Oryzias latipes: one gene and its partner. The protein of the gene in region 1 interacts with the protein of each later gene in a pairwise test. Links are inferred from orthologs where the notes say so. Each region holds a gene or a part of one and is shown in the gene's direction. Other genes may lie near its edges.

The links.
Region 2: the proteins of pih1d2 (region 1) and igf2bp3 interact in a two-hybrid assay, tested with the Homo sapiens proteins (2 studies listed by BioGRID and IntAct). The two-hybrid records come from large-scale screens. The link is inferred for Oryzias latipes from reciprocal best matches to the Homo sapiens genes PIH1D2 and IGF2BP3.

What each region holds. Positions count from the first base shown.
Region 1 is NC_019871.2:11,415,883-11,420,337, reverse strand, and holds the start of pih1d2 (PIH1 domain-containing protein 2), read left to right. Parts: upstream 1-1,544; 5' UTR 1,545-1,605; exon of another isoform or gene 1,606-1,756; 5' UTR 1,757-1,780; coding exon 1,781-1,957; exon of another isoform or gene 1,958-1,972; intron 1,973-3,547; coding exon 3,548-3,674; intron 3,675-3,741; coding exon 3,742-3,978; intron 3,979-4,102; coding exon 4,103-4,377; intron 4,378-4,455. Other genes in the region: tmprss5 (transmembrane protease serine 5), read left to right, coding at 46-230, 321-419, 510-652, 734-886, 1,282-1,290.
Region 2 is NC_019869.2:10,806,066-10,809,884, forward strand, and holds part of igf2bp3 (insulin-like growth factor 2 mRNA-binding protein 3), read left to right. Parts: intron 1-1,363; coding exon 1,364-1,486; intron 1,487-1,612; coding exon 1,613-1,687; intron 1,688-1,860; coding exon 1,861-1,992; intron 1,993-2,079; coding exon 2,080-2,193; intron 2,194-3,444; coding exon 3,445-3,555; 3' UTR 3,556-3,819. UniProt on the Homo sapiens protein: RNA-binding factor that may recruit target transcripts to cytoplasmic protein-RNA complexes (mRNPs). This transcript 'caging' into mRNPs allows mRNA transport and transient storage.

The sequences.
Region 1 (4,455 bases):
CCTCTTATCACTGTCTGCCTTCTGTTTTCTTTCTGCAAATGTCAGCTACAGGCTACCTCAGGTGTCCAGCTGGGTGGTCTATGCGGGCATCGTGACCCGCAGCTCGGCTAAAATGGTTCAACACACGGGACACGCAGTGGAGAAGATCATCTACAACAAGAACTACAACCACAGGACCCATGACAGCGATATAGCGCTGATAAAGCTGCGGACACCGCTCAACTTCACAGGTTAACCTGACAGGAAAAAAAGGGTTTCTTCACTCGAAACATTGAAATGAATTCCTGTCAGACTGGTTTATTGCTTTTAATCCTGACTAGACACAATCAGGCCCATCTGCCTACCTCAGTATAAGTATGATCTGCCAGGTGGAACACAATGCTGGATTTCTGGATGGGGATACACAAAGCCTGATGATGGTGAGACAGTGCTGCCCCAGGTCTCAATTCCAATAAGGTAACAGGAGAGTGACAAATGCATCAGCCTTTAACGTCTCCTTCTCTTCTCAGTTCAGTCACCTGACACCCTGAAAGAAGCGCCGGTGCCTTTGATAAGCACTAAGAAGTGCAACAGCTCCTGCATGTACAATGGAGAGATCACGCCGCGGATGCTTTGTGCGGGATACACAGAAGGAAAGGTGGATGCGTGTCAGGTCAGATGGCTGTTTGCATGTTTGCATTCTGTCTTGATTCCTTACAGTTTTGCTGATGGGTTTGTGTGTTTACTTCTGTAGGGAGACAGCGGGGGTCCTCTGGTTTGCCAGGAAGATACTGTATGGAGGCTGGTCGGGGTTGTCAGCTGGGGTACGGGATGCGCTGAGCCAAACCATCCGGGGGTTTACACCAAGGTGGCTGAATTCCTGAGCTGGATTTATGAGATGATTGAGGTAAAGGCTTTTTCTTTAACCTGATAATGGAATAATATTTATATGTAACCTATATTTTTACCACACTTCCAATGCAAATGCAAATCAGCTGATTAATAACTCCAAAATCATTGATTATTGCACGGTAAACTGATCAAAACTAGCTCTCCATTGATGAGTCTAGCTGCACAATCATGCTTTTTCCATGTCAGTTTATTTCTGTAAGTATTTTATCAATTGAATAATGACCTAAAAATGATAACTCTACATCGCTTTGTTAATCTGTAATTACAGTCCTCGTGCACAGCCATTATCATTCCTTTTATATCATCAGCACAAAGGAGGAAAAAAAACTGCTCAATGAAGCGTAATTGAAGTTTACACTGATTGCTAATGATCACTCTCTCTCTCAACAGAATTACTGAGAAAGGAGCAAGACATGAGAGCAAAGGAAGGCCACCGATATTTTATCAGAAACATATGCTTATATAATATATTTTTATGCTTTAAATGTCATTGATATATTGTTTAATAAGACAGTGTGGAAATAAGAGCATTTTTTGTCATATTTTTCACGTTTTGACTACATTAAAGCCTCTTGAACACAGCCTTGTCTGATTTTTACCCTGCAGTTACACGTTTTATCGCTAGGTGGCAATAATGTTCAACAAATCGAGTTTCCATGGCAACTGGAAGCCAAACTACTTTACCTATTGCCTGAATGTCGATATTTGTCAAAGGTTTGATTTAATTTCTTTTCATCTGTAAAGAAATATAATATTGCTTCGTTTGTGTTAGATTTATAATAATTTTTGTTTTCTAAAGCCATAAGTTATTTACTTTAGAGACGAACGAAGGACTTATTTGCTTTCTCTAAACTTGCTAACCTAGCTAGCGGCAAACAAACCTGTCAGGATGACTTCCGGTTGCAATACCGAAGTTTTAGGACAGATCAAACAGTTTTGGTCCATGCTTGACGACCTAAGTGAGAATGACCCTGCAGCTTACCGTAAACTTACCGAAGATTTGAAGACAGGAGGTAAACAGAGGCTGCAACCAGTGCTCCACTCCACTGTGTGCACCCAAATACTGGTAAGTCTAGTGACACGTGCTAAACAGATTAACTAGTTACTTTAAGCATGCATACGCAAGTTTTTTCAAAATAAAACAAAGAGTCTCATTGACAGAACACATCTGACTGATAGATGTTGCAAACTGATGAGTTATTCAATTTTTATGCAATAAACATTGTTCCATTTCAGTAGATATTGATGACTAACAGAGAAGAATGCACAAAAAATAACTCATTACAAAAACAATTAATACTAAAGTAGAAGTAAAATGAGATGCTACACTCCACAATGGAGTATTATTTATACCAAACAAAGTGACTGATCATGTAACGATTAAATTACAGTAACAATACTCTGTGTAGAATTAAGTCAGAGTTTATGTAAAAGTAAGTTTTTGTACTTAGAAATAAACTAACGAGAACACACACATCTATCACATTTACAGCACTGGTCACATATGAACTCATTGGATTTTATTGTTACTATTTTTTCTTTATTATCAAACTTATTTTAGTATTTGTGACTTATTATTTGTCTTTTTCTCCTATGTATGCTCTATATTTGTGAGTTACACTAGGTGGAGACTTTAAATAAGCCTTTTATGTTTTTTTTTGTCTCTCCCTGCACTGCATTTAATTGTATTTTAATGTTTTTCTTGCCGTGTTTTAAATGTGCCAAAGCAAGAAACTAAAAACTAAATTACCACAATTCAAATCAAAGAAACACCTTTTTATTTACTGTCTCTCCGAGGAGAGATAATCTATGATATCTTTTTTTGAAATAATATGGTACAAATAATTAAATAATGTGAAGAATGGCCCAGTACAGCTTAGTTAAAAGTAAAAAGACTCAATCATAGATAAATAAAAATGAGAAAAGAGAGGGGTGCAACCTACCTATTCTTTGAGGTATGAAACTAAATAAATGTAACTGCTTCTTCTTATTTTTTTTATTGTTTAAAATAAAAAATTAAACATGTTAAGCTCTGCTTATAAAGGTTAAATAAAGAATATGTTCTAGAGCAAAGTTTGTTTGAATAATTAACATCTTTATGGCTGTTAAGGAAAAAAAATCACTTGTGTTTTTGCTATGAAGTAAATAAGGTAATTTTGGAGCCAAACTGGTTTGCATATGTACATCAAAGGACGTCAAGGGGTTTTATAATAATAATAATAGTAATAGTAATAATAATAAATCAGTTTTATGATATGTTATATTGCAGCATGTGCTTACATTTATTTCTTTGTCTTTTCGGTAGCTCCTTCTTGGGGTTGCCATTGCAAATCAACCGTCCTTCATTTTAACTGTATCCTCACTATTCTCCTCATGTGCTCACTTCAACTGTAGCAACAAAACTGAATCTAATAAAAAATGTCTACTTTTAGAGAAATCTACAGATTTTCTGCACCTCTGGAGTCTTCAATAAAGTTTTTTGAAACTATTGTTGGGTTGACAAAGTGCCCAGCTGTTTCATCTTTCTTTGGTGCTTATTAGAATACCTTTCATGATTTTTTTTTTTTCTGTAAACCTGTCAGGCTGTGTCAATTTATAGCAATGACACATGGTGTGTTGTGACAGTTTCTGAACAGTACAGCTGTGTGCCTCTCAGGAACCACAAACAGGCTTGCTGTACATTAACATATGCAGCTGGGAAACTGTGCCTGAGCATCAGGATCTGAACGGTCCACTCCCAATGTGTGCAGGAAGACTGGAAACGGGGACAAAAGAAGGTCAAGGTGAGCCACAGACCGTTTCTTTGTGTTGCACCAGCCAAAACGAGACGCTCCCATTGTTCCTCTGCAGGCTGGTATGCTGTCCTGGATGTGGCATTTAATCCTGCAGCACTACGGGGGACGAAGGATGTACCAGACATTAACAAGGTGTACACTGTGGCCCTGAGCTTTGCCCAGCAGCGGCATGGAATGCGGTTATCTCAGGAGTACACTGTTGTCAGCTGCAGCCCCAAGAGTCGCTCAGATGATTTGCACCGTCGACTGGGGTTACGAATGCAGTCCAACCTCCCCAAACAGCCAGAAACAGGTAAAAGAGAGAAGCTTTTAGCAGTGCTAAGCCCCTAAGGCCTTTTATGTTGTACCCAATGTGTCTTTCCTGTGAAGGTGCATGATCTGTCACCTCTCAGCAGTTTCTCTTTTTTTTTTTTCAGCCTGCCAAAATCCAGCTGCCCTTCTTAAGCAGATCTACTCTCTCCAATCAGAGAAGCGTGACGAGAACTCCACAACCCAAATTCCTTTCGGATATGAGGAGTGCAAAAAAAAGGATCTGATCCAAGTAGTTTCCTCCACTATTGTGGAGCCTGAGAGGCCCGAGTACCACCTCGGGGTGAAGAGTGATGCAGCAGGAGTTCCCCGCAGCGTGGAGCTGACTGTGGAGCTGCCAAAGGTGCGCTCCGTGTCAGAGTGCCAGCTGAGTGTGTCCCAGGTTAGCGGTCGCACACTCCCTTGAACAGTTCTAATAAACAATTTCAGGTCCCAGCATGCATCAGTGCATAGCTGGATG
Region 2 (3,819 bases), on another chromosome or scaffold:
CTTTATTTTTTTTGCTCCTAAAGCTTTTTTAGAGCTCTTAGTCTTTTAATTGGTCACTCTAACATTATTTTGTCCCACAGCTTCTTGCAGAGCAGTAATTGGTGGCATTGGAAAAACCCTGATATTACCTTTTGCCTAACAGCATGCCTTACTTCTGCAGTATGGAATAATTCATAAAGCTTTTCTGTATTTGATCTGCTTGACCCATGGGTGTTGGTGGTGACCACGCAAAGTTAAATGGGGAAAATCTCTTTAGTTGTTTACTGAGTTTTTACGAAAGCCAGACAGATGTTTTACCAGGAAAAAAAGCAAAATTGAACAATTTTAGGTTAAAAATCTTTGGAGTTGAGGACTTTTTTAATTTTATTTTATTCTTCAAGGCTGTTTTGCTGAAAAGTGGATAAATTGTAAATTTCTGGATGTCTGTGCTTCTGCAGCTCTTATTTTTTTTTTATCGGGTGTTGTATTTTTATGCATTTATTTCATTTGCTCATTTTATTAGAGATTTTAACCCTGTAAAGTCCCACTCCTGTCATTTCAAAAAATCTATTTTAAAGTGCTACCAGTGGTCTTTAAATTATGATTATATGGTTTTAAGCAAAAATCTGAAACCCTGTTGTCTGAGAGCAGTGGTATTTCACTACAAATTAGCCTCTGACTTGTGGGCGGGACTGTTGCCGCTGAGTAAGCTTTCCCCCTTTTTCATCATTCCTTTGTCTACACTCTCTCCGGCTAGCTTACAGCCCCTCACAGCCTTGTTAACACTACCAGTGTAACAAAAATGGTAATCAATATTGCAGCTATCCAGCTGTACAGTTTTGATCCAGATTCCAGCTCAGACAAGGAAAACAAAGGTGTCCATGGATCTATTTGTCTGCAAGCTGATACATCAGAATGGAGCACAGCAGGGAGCTTGGGGGGGGGGTGGGGTTCTACGTCACGCCTACAAACTTTCAAATGGCTTTTTTTTTTAATTCTTTGTCTACTCTTGATTCAGAAGAATTTTAATACTCAGAAATGCACCGGAGTGGGTCTTTGCAACGGCAAGCTTCAGTTTTGTAATGACGCACAATTGTATTTTGTCTTTATTGAGTCATTGAAATTCCATTATAAATTGCATGCAACATAATCAATGCATCTCTTTTTAGAATGCATTAACACAAACCTTTGCTTCAGAAATGAAATGATCACTTCCTTCATACTCACATGAGGGGGTAATTAATCAATGAAGTTTTAGGAAGCGAGCAGCTTTTACTCAATTTGCTGTTTTGTTGACACACCAGTGCTGGAGCGGAGTAGATGGTCTGCTACCACTGTGCAGCTGTCATCTGGTTGGGGCAGTAATGCAGTGTTTTGTACCCAGCAGGGACAGCCGGAGTCGGAGACGGTTCACCTGTTCATTCCTGCGCTTGCAGTGGGAGCCATCATTGGCAAACAGGGTCAACACATTAAACAGCTGTCTCACTTTGCAGGAGCCTCCATCAAGGTGAGTACCTGACAGATGGTGAAGGAGGGATGGGATTACTCCACCTGCCTCTTGTCTGGTTAGGGGGGAGGACTTAAAAGGTTTGGTTGGAGCAGCTCTTTACTGATGTGCTTTTCCTGCTTTCAGATTGCTCCTGCAGAAGGAATGGATGCCAAGCAGAGGATGGTCATTATCGTTGGACCACCAGAAGCTCAATTTAAGGTTCTGAAGCTTCATGTTCACCTTTTTAAAATAAAAATTTGATCATATTAGAGCTTTTTTTTTCTTTCTTTTTTAAATGGCAAAGAAAAAAATTGGGATTCTCCTGAAACGGGGATGGTCACAAAACTGAAGTGTTCTATGTCTAAAAGGCAACAATGGTCAAATCTTTATAGGCCCAGTGTCGCATCTTTGGAAAATTGAAGGAAGAGAATTTCTTTGGACCCAAAGAAGAGGTAAAGCTGGAGGCCCACATCAAGGTTCCTTCTTTTGCTGCCGGAAGAGTCATTGGAAAAGGTGGAAAGACGGTAATGAAAGGACTGATTCTGCAAACCCCCCTGGTAAATCTACAAATCCTGAGACTTTTTCAGAGGATAAATTGCTCTTTGTTACAGGTCAATGAGCTGCAGAACTTGACATGTGCAGAAGTGGTGGTGCCCAGGGACCAGACGCCTGACGAGAACGACCAGGTCATCGTAAAGATCAGTGGGCACTTCTTTGCATGTCAGGTGTGTCATTAAATCAAAGCTTACAAACGGGTTCATCTTATTTTGAATAAAAAATGTTTAATAAGTGGGACACATTTTGTCAGACATCATGCTTTCGCATTTAGGTAGTTGACTGTTTAAATGTGCACAAAAAATGAAATTGATCGTCTCTTATTTGAATGAACTAAACTCCCTGAAATCCTCAACGTTATAACGACTACTAGTTTGCGGTTGGTATTCCTTAAATTGAGCCCTTTCCAAAAAACTGAACAGTTTAAGCTGCCATTTACTGATAATCGCCTGCAACTCGTCACATCATGCTCACCACCCAGCTATTTTCCAAACTTTGTGGTTCATGGTTCCTCAGATTTGTTGGCCTCTATTTCTGCACCTGTAATCAACAGCTTAAATGTCACTTTGCTTTACAGCAGGGGTCTGCAACCTTCAATACTTAAGGAGCCATTCTGGTTAAGTTCTCACTGACCACAACCCAGTAGGAGCCACAAAGTCTGACTTCACCCTATAGACAAATAAGACACTAAAAATGGAGAAAATTGTCGTTTTTTATTTATTTATTATTATTTGAAGTGGTTTATCAATAACTTGACAGAGGTTCACATTACTTCCTTTCAAAATAAGACGCCCCTATAGGTTCATCTTAAGTAGTACTACAGTGTAATGTCAGCAGAGATTTAAAACAAATTAGATATTTGGGTTAACACATTCTGGTGTGGAATGAGTGCTCAGTGTTAAAACATCCTTAATGTTTTCGCTTGAATTGAAACCAAAAAACAAATGAAAAAGGAAAAATCCATTTCAAGACCCACTCAAATGGAAATGGCGTTTTTCTGTTGATATTTTCCTATTGCATTTTTCTCACGGAGGATATTTAAAAAAAAAAACTTTCTGATTTTCTTAATTCAAATCGTAATGATCAGGCGGGTGCAAATGAAAAGCCATGTTTTTTTTAGTTTTCCACTTGAAGACGATTATATTCATGCAAGTCTTCATTTTCTACTATCTGGCTCAAAACTGTACGGCTGGATGGCTCTGAAATTTTCACCCTTTTTTGTTATGCTAATGTTACCTTGGTGTGGTGATGAGCTAAGTGTAAACAAAAGCATTCTGGGATATATCACTGCAGAGTTTCTTCACCAACAGACCCGCCCACAACCCAAAAGCGAATTCCGATGAGCAGTCTTTAAAAAAAGACATGCTTTTAGGTGTTTGATTAAAACTGTGCCTAACCTTTTTTTTTTTTTTGTGGTTCAGCTTGCCCAGAGGAAGATTCAGGAAATCCTGGCCCAGGTGAGGAGGCAGCAGCAGCAGCAGCAGTTAAAACCCCAGCCTGGAGGCCAGCCTCCCATGCCTCGTAGGAAATGATCTGCTGGTTTCAGAGAAATGGCGACTCGGTCTGTCAGAAGACTCAAAAGACGGCCGGATGCAGAAGAGTGTAAGGGGAGGAAGATGACGACAGACGGTCCTAACGCTCATCTCAGGGGTCGGAGGCTATCTGATCCGAATCGGACTTGCACCCCTCGCTGACTTGAACTGTTGAGTGTGGCAAATAAGACCCTTTTGCCTTTGGAAGCTCCACCCACTCAACCTCAGCATCTCCTGTGAGAATGTATGTCTGAGGGCTCCCAC